Elephas maximus indicus: one gene and its partner. The protein of the gene in region 1 purifies or fractionates together with the protein of each later gene. This does not show direct contact. Links are inferred from orthologs where the notes say so. Each region holds a gene or a part of one and is shown in the gene's direction. Other genes may lie near its edges.

What was found.
Region 2: the proteins of SF3B1 (region 1) and EFTUD2 purify together in Homo sapiens (affinity purification with mass spectrometry; 4 studies listed by BioGRID and IntAct, with this or other methods). This does not show direct contact. The link is inferred for Elephas maximus indicus from reciprocal best matches to the Homo sapiens genes SF3B1 and EFTUD2.

Annotation. Positions count from the first base shown.
Region 1 is NC_064824.1:95,769,766-95,776,976, reverse strand, and holds the start of SF3B1 (splicing factor 3B subunit 1), read left to right. Parts: upstream 1-4,113; 5' UTR 4,114-4,192; coding exon 4,193-4,220; intron 4,221-7,211. UniProt on the Homo sapiens protein: Component of the 17S U2 SnRNP complex of the spliceosome, a large ribonucleoprotein complex that removes introns from transcribed pre-mRNAs.
Region 2 is NC_064837.1:51,315,591-51,322,726, reverse strand, and holds the start of EFTUD2 (116 kDa U5 small nuclear ribonucleoprotein component), read left to right. Parts: upstream 1-4,029; 5' UTR 4,030-4,152; intron 4,153-4,265; exon of another isoform or gene 4,266-4,378; intron 4,379-7,136. Other genes in the region: CCDC103 (coiled-coil domain-containing protein 103), read right to left, coding at 202-651, 1,743-1,875, 2,633-2,775. UniProt on the Homo sapiens protein: Required for pre-mRNA splicing as component of the spliceosome, including pre-catalytic, catalytic and post-catalytic spliceosomal complexes. Component of the U5 snRNP and the U4/U6-U5 tri-snRNP complex, a building block of the spliceosome.

The DNA of each region.
Region 1 (7,211 bases):
CCTTTTTTCACCTGAGAAATTGTCACCTGGGTTCCTATAGAATGGAACTTGAAGGCCTTTAGAGTTTTATCTCCAAAGGTAATTTATGCGAGTTACAGCTAGCATTTAACATTTTGTAAAATTATTATACCTTGCTTTCTGTCTAGAGAAATTATATATCCTTGCTACTCTGCAATTTATGGAGCCCTGGTGGCACAGTGGTTAAGAGCTTGGCTGCTAACCAAAAGGCTGGCCGTTCAAATCCACCAACTGCTCCCTGGAAATCCTATGGGGCAGTTCTACTCTGTCTTGTTAGGGTCGCTGAGTCAGAACTGACTCAATGCCAACGGGGTTTTTTTTTTTTTGCTACATATATGTATAAAGTCAGCATCCAAGTACCCCTGACAAGAAATGGAAAGATTTAATTAGATGTTACCACTGTCAATTGTCTGTGTTATAAAAACAGGGACCAGGTCACCCCTCTGACTTTTGACATAAAAAACCTCACCCGAAGAGGTTTGGATTGAAGGGGGTAAGTAATGTCTCAGTATTATTTATTAATACTATAAAAAATAGGATGTAAAAGAGACTTGTTAAAAAAAAACAAACTTTGTTTTTTACTGCTGGAATGTCCAATTCACTCTTTTATTAAAGACTAGTAAAAAAAAGGGAGTCTCCCTTGATTTTTGGCAAATTCTCTCAAATCTCATTATCCTGTATATGTCCTTGCCCTGTGAAAGTAATTTAATACCTAGGAACCCATAGAAATACGTACATGATGTGGCCAGCAGGTTCAGTTTATCTCTGTCTTGGAAAGAGGAGGAGGGACGGTGAGACCACTTTGCAGCTGGTTGTCATATTTTTAAAACATATTTTTCTGGTTATAAAAATAATACATACTCATAGCCAAGTATCCGGAAAATACTATAAAGTATAAAGAAAAGATAAAAATCACCCATATTCCCATCATTCATAAACACTTATTGTTAACATTTTTAGTGAATTTCCTTTGCATATATTTTTTTACATGACTGAGCTCACCCTGTATATACAAATTTATTTTTTTTAAACATGACCCAAGAATGCAATGTCCTTGTGATTCTTTGCCAATATGAATTCTTTTAGTTTGTTGATTATTGATGAATAGTAACTCCCTTCTCCCATTCCTTATTTCTCATTCTTTTTCCTTTCATCATTTTAAAATATACTATAAATAAAAAAAAAATACATATATGATTTTTACTATTTTGTATATATAAAAGAATACATGGAACTTATGTGTAAGTTATAAAACATAATAATATAATGAATATTCATGGATCCTTCTGCCAACCCAAGAACTAAAATTTTGTCAATGATTTGTATTACAATCTACATTCTCTTCTCTTATCTCATGCCCCTTTCTCCCCCAACTATTGTTTAACCTAATAAAGAAATGCAAATTATACAACTGAATTTTTTTTTAATTCATCAAATTGATTTTTCACTGCTGCTAATAAAAAAGAGAAGAACACGCTCGGCATTTCTCAAGCTGAAATAACTGAAGAAAAAATTCAAGCCTTGAGTTGCAGTATGGGGAAAGTATCAAAAGACGTGGGAAGCATCGAAAGAAGATGGAAAGAATATAGAGTCATTATACCAAAAAGAATTGGTTGACATTCAACCATTTCAAGAGGTAGCATATGATCAGGAACCAGTGTACTGAAGGAAGGCGTCCAAGCTGCACTGAAGGCATTGGCAAAAAACAAGGCTCCAGGAACTGATGGAATATCAACTGAGATGTTTCAACAAACAGATGCAGCACTGGAACTGCTCACTTGTCTATGCCATGAAATTTGGAAGACAGCTATCTGGCCAACCAACTAGTAGAGATCCATATTTATGCCTATTCCTAAGAAAGGTGATCCAGCCGAAGGGGAAAATTATCAAACAATGTCATTAATGTCACACGCAAACAAAATTTTTGCTGAAGATCATTCAAAAGAGGCTGCAGCAGTATACTGACAGGGAACTGCCAGAAATTCAGGCCAGATTCAGAAGAGAATATGGAACCAGGGATATCATTGCTGATGTCAGATGGATGCTGGCTGAAAGAATAGAATAACCAGAATGATGTTTATCTGTTTCATTGACTATGCAAAGGCATTTGACTGTGTGGGTCATAACAAATTATGGATAACATTGTGAAAAATGGGAATTCCAGAACACTAATTTGAACCTGTACATAGATCAAGCAGCAGTTGTTCGACAGAACAAGGGGATACCACATGGTTTAAAGTCAGGAAAGGTGTGTGTTAGGGTTGTGTCCTTTCACCATACCTATTCAATCTGTATGCTGAGCAAATAATCCGAGAAGGTGTACAATATGAAGAACAGGGCATCAAGATTGGAAGAAGACTCATTAACCACCTGTGTTATGCAGATGACACAACCTTGCTTGTTCAAAGTGAAGAGGACTTGAAGCACTTACTGATGAAGATCAAAGACTACAGCCTTTAGTATGGATTACACCTCAACATAAACAACCCACCCCCCACAACTGGACCAATAAGCCACATCATGATAAATGGAGAAAATACGTAAGTTGTCAAGGATTTCATTTTACTTGTATCCACAATCAACACCCATAGAAACGGCAGTCAAGAAATCAAAAGACTCATTGCATTGGGCAAATCTGCTGCAAAGGACCTTTTTACAGTGTTGAAAATCAAAGATGTCACCTTGAAGACTAAGGTGCACCTGACCTAAGCCATGGTATTTTCAATCGCATCATATACATGCAAAAGCTGGACAATGAGTAAGAAAGACCAAAGAACTGACAGCTTTGAATTGTGGTGTTGGAGAATATTGAATATACCATGGCCTGTCAAAAGAATGAACAAATCTATCTTGGAAGAAGTACCAGAATGCTCCTTAGAAGCACGGATGGCAAGACTGCATCTTACATACTTTGGACATGTTGTCAGCAGGGATCAGACACTGGAAAGGACATCATGCTTGGTAAACTACAGGGTCAGCGGAAAAGAGGAAGACCCTCGACAAGACGGATTGACACAGTGGCTACAACAATGGGCTCAAGCATAACATCGATTGTGAGCATGGCGCAGGACCTGGCACGAGTCAGAACCGACTTGATGGCACCTAACAACAACCAAAACAAAAATGCACTTTTTCTGTTACTAATGCTTTTCTAAATATGAGTTGTGAATCGATCACACGTCAAGGTACACTCTTTCCTTTTTGATGGCTCTAACCTCCATCGTTGTTTTCCTAAGCTGCTTCCTGGACCACACTTCCCTTTGAGATCTGTTCTTTTTCAACTCTGAAGTCCTAGGCAAATGTGAGAGTTTATGATATTATATTGATGCATAGGAAAAAAAGGCGGCGGTACTCTCATTGACTAAAATTCCTAATGTAGGAAGGATGTTTAAAATTTAGAGACGCATTTTATAGTGTTTACTGCTGACGGTCAGTGGTTTTCTAAGAACCCATAAAGTTAAGTCAGGGGGGCAACGGTCCTGCTGTGCAACTTAAAAACCGTGAGACCTTAAACAATTTATACATGTTCTCCCTAGTTTTTCTCTCATTTCTTAATTAGGATTAGCAACAACTTTACTTACTGGGCTATTTATGAGATTCAATAATGTTTGGGTACTTTATGTTGTAAACAAAACCCTTACACAAATGATAGGCAATTACCAAAGGAAAAAAATGACTTTGAATTACAGCGCGAAGGATGAGGCTGTTTTGACTATCTCCATAACTAAGCATTGCAAGTACAGACATGCTAAAGAACACTTCTCTGGCTCTGACACACCTTCCGGTGAATTTGGAAAAAGGGGATTGAAGACCTGCTGAAGTTTCTCCCAGCCCCGAAACCGTAATTTACCGTACAGTGTCTGTTCTAAACTGTCCTCGTGAAAGCCACGTTCTCCAAGGCAAAATTACACACTTAAGGGCGCTAGGGCTCACCCGGTTCCCGTCTGAGTCAACAAGTAAGCCACATCAGCCTCCAGCCCTAGCTCCTCCCATACCCACAATTCACCTTGCTTTTCCAGCTAGATGGCTGTTCTGTCACGTGTCACCCACGGAGCGCGCTCCCGTTTTGCGCCTGCGCAGAGAGCAGCTCCAGCTGTTTTTCTCCGTGGCGGCGGCGGCGGCGAGCGGAAGTTCTTAGGAGCGCCAGTTCCGTCTGTGTGTTCGAGTGGGTAAAATGGCGAAGATTGCAAAGACTCACGAAGGTAGGGATCTTCCTCTGCTTAAGTGTCTTCTCTGTTGCCCAGGCTGCTAAGACTCTGTCTTCTTAGGTTTTTGCCTCTTCCTGTGTGTTTTTTTCGTTGGGGTCCTAGCCCGTGCTTCGAGGCCTGCGTCGTCGCCTTGGCGCCAGCGGCGCAGGCCACTGCCCCATGTAATGGCGTCTTACTCATACACCCCCGACAGGCGCTTTGTTCCGTGCTTGGGTACTGTTGCTTCCCTTCTCCGACCAGAGGGCCTTGTTTAAACTGCTTGCTAAAGAGGATTCCAGCGCAAGGGGTTGGGGAAACGGGTGTGGGAGGAAAGTCTCAGTCGTTTCTGGGAACTGTTGTCGGAATAGTTTGTACATAAGAAAGTCAGAAAGGCACTGAAATACGGCAACTGCTTTTCGGCAGCACTATATCGGGTTTGGTTGAACAGAGGCCCACTACTCCCAACCTTGAGTAATATGTGTCTTCAGGTGTCTGGGTTACTTGTTTTTGTTGCACGACATGATTTGGGTGTAAAATTTTTCTCAGTCACTTTTAGCATAGTAGTGCTGTTTTTCTTTGGAGCTGGCTATTGGAGAAGCAGGTAGAAGGAGGTGAGGGCACATTAATGTTATCGATGCTCGAAGCGTTCAAACTAGTTGATCGTTTTATGGAATACAGAGCACATTATACGAAATTTACGGACATGTTGGGAATAGGCTGAAGTCTACTAAGGAGTATTAAGAGCGGGCCCAGAGGTGATAGGAAATGGGGGTCCCTTTTCAGAAAAGATGAAGCGTGGTAAGTTAGAACTGCATTCCTTGATATCTGATGTGAAATCCAAAATCTTCACTGAACACAATTCCAAGAGAAAGAGTTACTTTTATTTCACGTACCATCCATGTTCTTTATGTGTGGCTCGGTGTTATTCTGTGAGGGGTAACAAAGAATGCCGAAACCAAAACTAGACACACTGCAGCCTAGTCAATTTCGAGTCATAGCCACTCCATAGGATTTCCAAGACTGTAATCTTTAGGGAAGCAGACTGCCACCGTTTTTCTCCCGCGTAGTGGTTGCTGGTTTGAACCATCAGCCTTTCGGTTAGCAGACCAAAGAATATAAGGTCACAGATTTTATTCTTTAACGGCGGAAATAGATGTATATACATTCTCTTAGGCCAAACGAGTGCTTAGATAGAAGTAAAAGCAGTATGTTTCAGGAGTCTTCGGAACGGAGTGATTAATTTATATTTAGGGTTATTTCACAGAGGCGATGACATGTCCCTGGTCGGAAAAGATCAATCAGTTTTCAACTAGGGGAGAATATCTGAGCCTGAGAGAGCATTTTGTAACAAGGTAGTGTGAGCTGTGAAAGTTAACGGCGTGTTTGAGCAGTCTGCTGTGGCAGGAAAAGAGGGTGCAAACAGGGAAATAGTAGAAGATGAATCTGGGAAGGTAGGTTGGGACTAGAGTGTGGATAGAATGGTTGGGCCAACCCGAGGTCCAGGTCTCTGCAATTTAAGAGGCTTGCTAATGAATTGTCAATGACTTTATTATTATTTTTGTTGGGTGTATAGGATTTAAACACTGCCTTAATCCAGACGTGTCCTTAAGTACTTTTCCTCTTGGTTTTAGAGTATATCAAACATAGCTTTTGTTAAATAATTAGAAAATGTAAATATGTTGCCATTCTTATTCATGCAGGAGTAGATTATTCCCTTGGCCCATTTTGTGGCTTTGATGAGTTGTTTATTGGTATCGTCATCATAAGAGAACCTTTGACAGGAACATCAATAAAGTCCTAACTTTTTCCCGCATTTTAGAAACCCAGCTAAAAGCGTTGGTTGATAGAAGATTGCAATTTATTGGTCAGAATTACTATTTGGGGTTATTCTATCAATGTGAATTAACTGATGACACAAAGAATGTGTTAGAACATTCAGTGTACAAGGCCCTGCCCATCTCTGTGCAGTATAAAAAATGAAGATGGACCTCCTGCTGTCAAGGAGCTTATATAATAGGGGAAACATCTGCATATGATTAAAAGAAGACCAAAAAAAAAAAAAACGCAAAACCATTGCTGTGGAGTCGATTCAGACTCATAGAGACCCTATAGGACAGAGTAGAACGGCCTCATAGAGTTTCCAAAGAGTGGCTGGTGGATTCAAACTGCTCACCAAAAGCTGAGATCTTAACCACTGAACCACCAGGGCTCCTGAAAGAAGACAGAGTGATAAATACTTAATAGAAATACCCGCCCCCCCCAAAAAAACACACCAAACCCGTTGCCATCCAGTTGATTGCAGCTCATAGCCACCCTATAGGATGGAGTAGAACTGCCCCATAGGGTTTTCAGGAAGTACCTGGTGGATTCGAACTGCCAGCCTTTTGGTTAGCAGCCAAACTTTTAACCACCGTGCCACCAGGGTTTCCAACTTTTACTTAGGATATTGTATTAAGGCTTTCTCTTCCACTTGATTGAAGTAGTTTCATATAGGAACTGTACCTTGGTATGTCCAGTACCTAGTACCTAATGGGTGCTCACGTATTTAATCAATATTTATTAAGAGATTAATTTATACTGGACTTAATTAAGAGAGCTTTATAGAAAGGGTGCACTTAAACTGACCTTTGAAGGAATTAGGTAGGTTTGGACATGTTTGGCTGAGATAGATGCAGGACTTATTCATTATTGGGAACCTCCTGAACTGAGAGGAAGAAATGTTAGGTTAGCATCAGCTTATGGAAGGCTTGAAACAGGGTGGTAAGTTTGAGCTTGGCTTCCAAATGTCTGCAGAATAAAGTGCCTGTCTTCCTTCCCCTAGGTGGTCAAAACAATTAACCGGCTCAGTTGCTAACTGAAAGGTTGGAAGTTTGAGTGCACCCAGAGGTGTCTAGGAGGAAAGGGCTGGTGATCTACTGCTCAAAAATGAGCCATTGAAAACCTGATGGAACACAGTTCTACTCTGACGCATATGAGATTGCCATAGAGGCAACATGTTTTTCCTAC
Region 2 (7,136 bases), on another chromosome or scaffold:
CTGCCCAGATAGTTCAAAATACATAGCCACAGAGGGACTGACAAAGTGGGGAAGACTCAATGCCTGTTTTTGCTGTGAAAATTCCAAGTTGAGAAGATAATCAGGTGTAGGCTTCTCATTACAGTCCTAGTGCCCCCAAGACAACAACCAATGAAAAATGCCTGAACGACAACTGGGGACCTCTGAAGGCAGCTGGTCCTATCAATTCACCTGGTACAGCCCCAGTAGCTCCTGCAGGAGCCCCTCCTCCTGGGGCCCACCAGACTGCTCCTCCAGACGCTGCTCCTCCTGGCTGAGCCCCTCGGCCGTGGGTCTGGGGACGCTCGTGGCCTGAAGCTTCTGAAACAAGCCTCTGCAGCTCTCCCTCTCTGCATGACTCAGCAGGCTCAGGTTCAAGGTGAAGCGCCCAGTGCTGGTCAGGCTGTGCAGGATCCCAAGAATGGCCGCCCGGTCACCTGGCCTCATATGATCAGCCAGTGCCACCAGCAGCTCCCCTAGAAGTCCAAACCCCACATCCATCTGGAAGAGGCGGCCCAGCCTTGGGCCCCCGAGCTGCAGCAGGGCCTGGTAGCGCTCTGGCCCACTCCTCAAGTGTCGCCGCCAATCGCGGTAGAACTCTGCTGAGGTCTCGGGCTGGAAGAGTGTTTTCTCCTAGACCACAAAGGAAGAAGGAAAGGGAGACCAGAGCTCTTCCAGCTGCTCTGGGACAGTGAGGGCAGCCTGTGGGTTTTCGTCTTAGCTCTGGTACTGCTCTTTGAGCACTGCGAAGGCTGCAGTCCTGTGGGTCTCATTTTCAGATCAACTAAGCCATGACTTGAGATTCTCAGTTGTACCAGGGTAGTCTCTCTGATGAATGGGGACATATAGCCCTGGTCTACGAGAATAAGTCAGAGTTTACTCTGAGCAGGGTGAAGGGGATGATTGGAACTCAAGGTGAGTGTCAAGGATCTGACAGGCTGGGTCTCCCTTCAACACTGCCACAGAATCATTACACTATATACACCACAAGTCGGAGATGGAGAGACCCAAACCTGCTCTGGGAATGAAAGTCGAAGGGCTGGCTGAAGGGGGCCTGCCCAGCACATCTTTCTGACTTGATCTGCCCAGTTCAACTTGGCCTCAGCATTCACTGGCTGCTTTGCTTTCTGGGATCAGAGTCAGAAACCTGCCTCTGGTCGCTTAACATGAAAACAACAACAGTAAAAACAACTAAAAAAAAACGTGTTTGATTACATAGGTATATAAATACGCATAAATATGTACAGAAAGGCATATATGAGTAACTGTAGGCATATATGTGTATATATACATGTTCATGTGTGATGCATATATTTTCAAGTATAAAATAAAGCACATAGTAGATTGGACCATAAAATAAATAATATCACCTGTGAGTACTGTGTTCCTCAAAATAATCATCTAGATGAAACCAAATGGTTAACATTTGCCCTAGACCAAACATGAGAAGGCTAGGAGGGACAGGGAAGCTAGATTAATGGAAACAGAACAACCAAAATGGAAATAATGAGAATGCTGATATATTGTGAAAAATGTAACCAAACTCACTGAACAGTAAGTACATAAATTGTTAAATGAGAACCAAATTTCCTGTGTACACTTTCACTGAAAATACAATATTTAAAAAAATAATAATTATAAGGCAAAGGTATACGTTGTGAGAAGACAGGTTTGGGAGTTTAGGGCAGAGAACCTGCTGGGGAAAAAGGCTGGGCCTCACCTACCTGGAATATTTCAGTGCCCTCATCCTGGGAGGTGCTTTCCTGAGTAGTGTGACAGTTCCAGGGTGCAGTTCTCTTCCCTCCCATCTTGTCCTTCTGCTCCAGAGGTTTCAAATGTGAAGCAAGGACAATACCCCTGTGGGCAAAGAACAGAGACCGAGGGGGTGGACTTAGTGCTGTTACAAGTGGGTGCAAGGAGGCTGGACTTTGCAGCATACCAGCTGAATCTGTTAGCAGACAGTCATGGACGGAATTGTGTCCCCCCAAAATATGACTTGGAATCTTAACCCCTATACCTGTGAACATAATTCTGTTTGGAAATAGGATTTTCTTTGTCATGTTAATGAGGCTATACCAGTGTAGGGCATGTCCTAAACCTAATCACTTCTGAGTTATAAAAAGAGCAGATTAGACACAGAGGAAAACACATACCAAGGAAAGCAGATACCATGTGAGGATTGCCAAGGAAACAAGGAACACCGGGGCTATCAACAAGGAAGGAATCAACACAGCCCAGACCCTGATTTGGACTTTTAGCCTCCAGAACTGTGAGAAAATAAATGCCTGTTCATTAAAGCCACCTACTTGAGGTATTTGTGTTACAGCAGCACCAGGAAGCTAAGACACAGGTCAAAATGACAATAATAATAATAGTGACAATAGTTGACAGTTTTTGAGCACTTCCTCTCTGTTTAGAGTATTATGTGCAATAACTCATTTAATCGTAACAATTGTTCTTACTTTATAAATGAGGAATTGAGACTCAAAGAGGTTATGTAAACCTGCACAAAAGATCACCCAGCTAACAGGGGGTGAGGCCAGAACTGAAGCCCAGAACTGACTCCAGAGCCCTTCCCTTTATTCACTATAGTCCAGCGTAACAGGGAGCCAACCTGAACTCCTCATAAGATGCCACCCTCTGTTCCACTGCCCGTAACTTGGCAGCATTCTCCCGCTTGTACTTCTCATCAGCAGTAAGTGCAGCCTGCAGCTCTTTCTCCAAAGCCTTGAAGTCGATGATGTCATTCCTTTCCATGACCTGTGCCTGGGAAAGCAAAGGGAATGGACATGAGCATAGGGTCATCGTCAGGGGGGAAGAGGAAGCCTCTGGATTCTTTGCCAGCCCACAAAATGACCCAAAAGCACTCTGGGTATCTCGTTACTTAACTTATCTTGGTGAAGAGGATAGTGATACAGAAATCTAGTTTTTTACTTTACAGAGGGGAGCTGAGTTGCACAGTGGGGACTTGCACAAGACTTGTTGTCACCGAAAACAGAATTTGGAGCCCTGTGTTTTGTTTTCTGCCTCTAAAAATATTTTATTTTTTTTGCTTCCGCTGAGGCTTTTGGATCTCAGAATTTGGTTCCTTTACTTTATAGCAAGTTATTGGGATAAAAGACCTCACACAAAAGCTGAACTATTGTCAGGTACTATAGAGCTCTAGAATAAAATCTAACCCTGCATTAAACGTCTTTAATGGGGAAGGATACTTTTCACCCAAACCAGATGCAATGACTGAGCAGGAAATGAAGAAGTGGCAGAGGAAGGGGGTCAATGATCCCTATCCTCAAATCCCTCTGTTCAGCCCAGGGCTGGAGCACAGGTCCCCATGGACTCGGGCAATCTCTTTAGTCCTGCCACTATACTTCTGTAGCCTCTGCGTTATCTGCAGGCAGGTTATCTATATGGGTTCTAGTCTTTGACATTTATTTGCTGTAAAATCTCTCTTTAACCTCCTGGTGGATTAGGCTAGATTTTGTGGCGGAGTCATCATCAACAGCCTTCGAAAAGCAGGCGGCCCGCATCCAGCCCAATAGTCACCAACGCGGAGAAACCAACCAAGCGCCAACAAGGGCCAGAACTGAATTCCGGCGTCCCGGTTCCTGCTAGTTCTAAATCATCCCCAATAGCTGAACTGAGAGAGAAACTAACCCTTCCGCCTCCCTAATTCAGTCACCGGGAACTTCACCCCAGCAGCCCGGGTCTCGGATCCCTTGCTTTCTTTGGGGATCCCCTGAAACATCAGGGAAAGAGGGCGCTCAGCGCAATCTACTCCTAGCAGCTGTGGTTGCTCAGCAACTGCCACAACAGCCTGCCCACGTGATCTTCTCGAAGGCCCCTTTTCGGGGTGGCTCCGAGGTGCCTGATCAGATTCATGCCTCCTCGGGTCATACTTTCTTTGGGACAGCCGCGCCTTATTTTGGGGACCCACAACTCCATCTCGGGCCTTCCTGTCTCCATGGCTGGCACTCCTCCGAGCCGGTCCTCAGGCGGAGGGTTGTCCTTCGGGGCAGGAACGCCCCCGAGGCGTCTGCGGGGTCCTTCCTGACTGCGGGCGCAGGCGCGGCGCGGCGTGGGACAGAGCGCGGCCTTCGGCGGCAGACTTGGGGCTTCTGGCTGAGCGGGCGCGAGGTGAGCTGGCGCAGGTCAATGGCGTGGGGACGTTGCTCCGGGTGGGATGGGAAATTATAAACGTCATATATGGAAAAGACGTTATATGCTGTCTGTCCCCCTTTCGCTTGGAGAAATTGAGGCCTGGAGCGGAAAGGGGACCGATTCAAAGAACCCTTCTCTCTCTACTCCCCCCCACCCCAATTCTGGGGTTCCCTCCGTATCGTCCGTCCGTAAAATCTCGTAGGTAAGGCTTACGTTCTGTCTGGTTCCCTCTCTTTCTCTTCTATCTGGGTCGCCTTCGCCCCTTCCTTCTTTTGGGACTCTGCGTGATAGCGAGAAGCTACAGTCAGGACTGGCACCAAAAGTCACTAACTGGTTTTGTGCAACTGTTGGCCAGTCAGCTAGCTTCTCTGTGCCTTGGTGGAGTCATTCATTGATTCAGTAAGGATGTATTGTTTTGTTCTAAGCGAACAAAACAGTCCTTGCTAAAATTGTAGTTGGGGTGATGAAGAGAACAGTGAGGGTACCTAACAGTACAGTTAACTACCATTCAAAGACATAAATGTTGATGAAGGTGTAAAGGTCTATATAGAACGTTGCTGTTGTCAATCATCATCGAGTCGATTTCGACTTATAGTGACCCCATGTATGCAAAGTGGAGACCCTGGTGGCGTAGTGGTTAAGTGCTAGGGCTGCTGACCAAAAGGTTGGCAGTTCGAATCCACCAGGCATTCCTTGGAAACTCTATGGGGCAGTTCTACTGTGTCCTATAGGGTCGCTATGAGTCGGAATCAACTGGACGGCAACTGCTCCGTAGGATTTTCAAGGCTGTGACCTCTCAGGAGGAGATCACCAGGCCTGTCTATCATGGTGCCTCCGAGTGGGTTTGAATTGCCAGCCGTTAGGCCAGTAGGGGACAGTTAAACATTTGTGCCACCCAGGAACTCTTCTAAAGGTACTACAGATAATATAAACAAATAAGTCTGGTTGTGTTCCAGTACAGCTTTATTTTTATTTATGTATTGTTTGTTTTATTGTATTTTAGATGAAGGTTAACAGAACAAACTAATGGCTCATCATACAGTTAGTACACACATTGTTGTATGACATTGGTTAACAACCCCATGACATGTCAACACTCTCCTTTCTCAACTCGGTTGTTGTTTTTGTTGTTAGGTGCCGTCGAGTCGGTTCCGACTCATAGCGACCCTATGCACAACAGAACAAAACACTGCCCAGTCCTGAGCCATCCTTATAATCGTTGTTATGCATGAGCTCATTGTTGCAGCCACTGTGTCAGTCCACCTTGTTGAGGGTCTTTCTCTTTTCCGCTGACCCTGTACTTTGCCAAGGATGATGTCCTTCTCCAGGGACTGATCCCTCCTGACAACATCTCCAAAGTATGTAAGAAGACACAGTCTCCATCCTTGCTTCTAAGGAGCATTCTGGTTGTACTTCTTCCAAGACAGGTTTGTTCATTCTTTTGGCAGTCTATGGTATATTCAATATTCTTCGCCACCACCACAATTCAAAGGCATCAGTTCTTTTTCGGTCTTCTTATTCATTGTCCAGCTTTCACATGCATATGATGCAATTGAAAATACCATGGCTTGGGTCAGGCTCACCTTAGTCTTCAAGGTGACATCTTTACTTTTCAACACTTTATAAGGTCTCTTGCAGCAGATTTACCCAACACAATGGGTCGTTTGATTTCTTGACTGCTGCTTCCATGGCTGTTGATTGTGGATCCAAGTAAAATGAAATCCTTGACAACTTCAATCTTTTCTCCATTTATCGTGATGTTGCTCATTGGTCCAGTTGTGAGGATTTTTGTTTTCTTTATGTTGAGGTGCAATCCATACTGAAGACTGTGGTCTTTGATCTGCATTAGTAAGTAATTCAAGTCCTTTTCACCTTCAGCAAGCAAGGTTGTGTCATCTGCCTAACATAGGTTGTTAATGAGTGTTCCTCCAATCCTCATGCCCTGTTTTTCTTGGTATAGTCCAGCTTCTCCAATTATTTGCTCAGCATACAGATTGAATAGATATGGTGAAAGGATACAACCCTGATGCACACCTTTCCCGACTTTAAACCAATCGTTATCCCCTTGTTCTGTCCAAACAACTCCCTCTTGATCTATGTAAAGGTTCCTCATGAACACAATTAAGTGTTCTGGAATTCCCGTTCTTGGCAACGTTATCCGTAATTTGTTATGGTCCACACAATCGAATCCCTTTGCATAGTCAATAAAACACAGGTAAACATCATTCTGGTATTCTCTGCTTTCAGCCAGGATCCATCTGACATCAACAATGATATCCCTGTCCTCTTCTGAAACCCGCCTGAATATCTGGCAGTTCCCTGTCGATATACTGCTGCAGCCATTTTTGAATGATCTTCAGCAAATTTTGCTTGTGCATGATATTAATGATATTGTTCTATAATTTCTGCATTTGGTTGGATCACCTTTCTTGGGAATAGGAATAAATATGAATCTTTTCCAGTCAGTTGGCCAGGAAGCTGTCTTCCATATTTCTTGGCATAAGTGAGTGAGCACCTCCAGTGCTGCATCTGTTTGTTGAAACATCTCAATTGATATTCATCAGAATCAGAGGTTGATTTTGATTATAACGAATTGGGCAGAGAGTCCAAAAATCTTGATGAGGACTTCTTCCTTCAGTACCATCAGTTCCTGATCATATGCTACTTCTTGAAATGGTTGAACATTGAGTAATTCTTTTCGGTATAATGACTCTATGTATTCCTTCCATCTTCTTTTGATGCTTCCTGTGTCATTTAATATTTTCTCAACCCTGGGTTCCCTATTACTAGCTACAGCTTTATTTTTAGACACTGATATTGTTGAATTTTATGTAATTAATTTTCCTGTGTTGTGAAATGTTAAAAAAATTTTTTTTCCAATTATTTAAAAACGTAAAAAGCATTGTCTTTTACAAAGACAGGCAGTGGGCCAGGTTTGGCCTGTGTGTCATGGTTTTCTG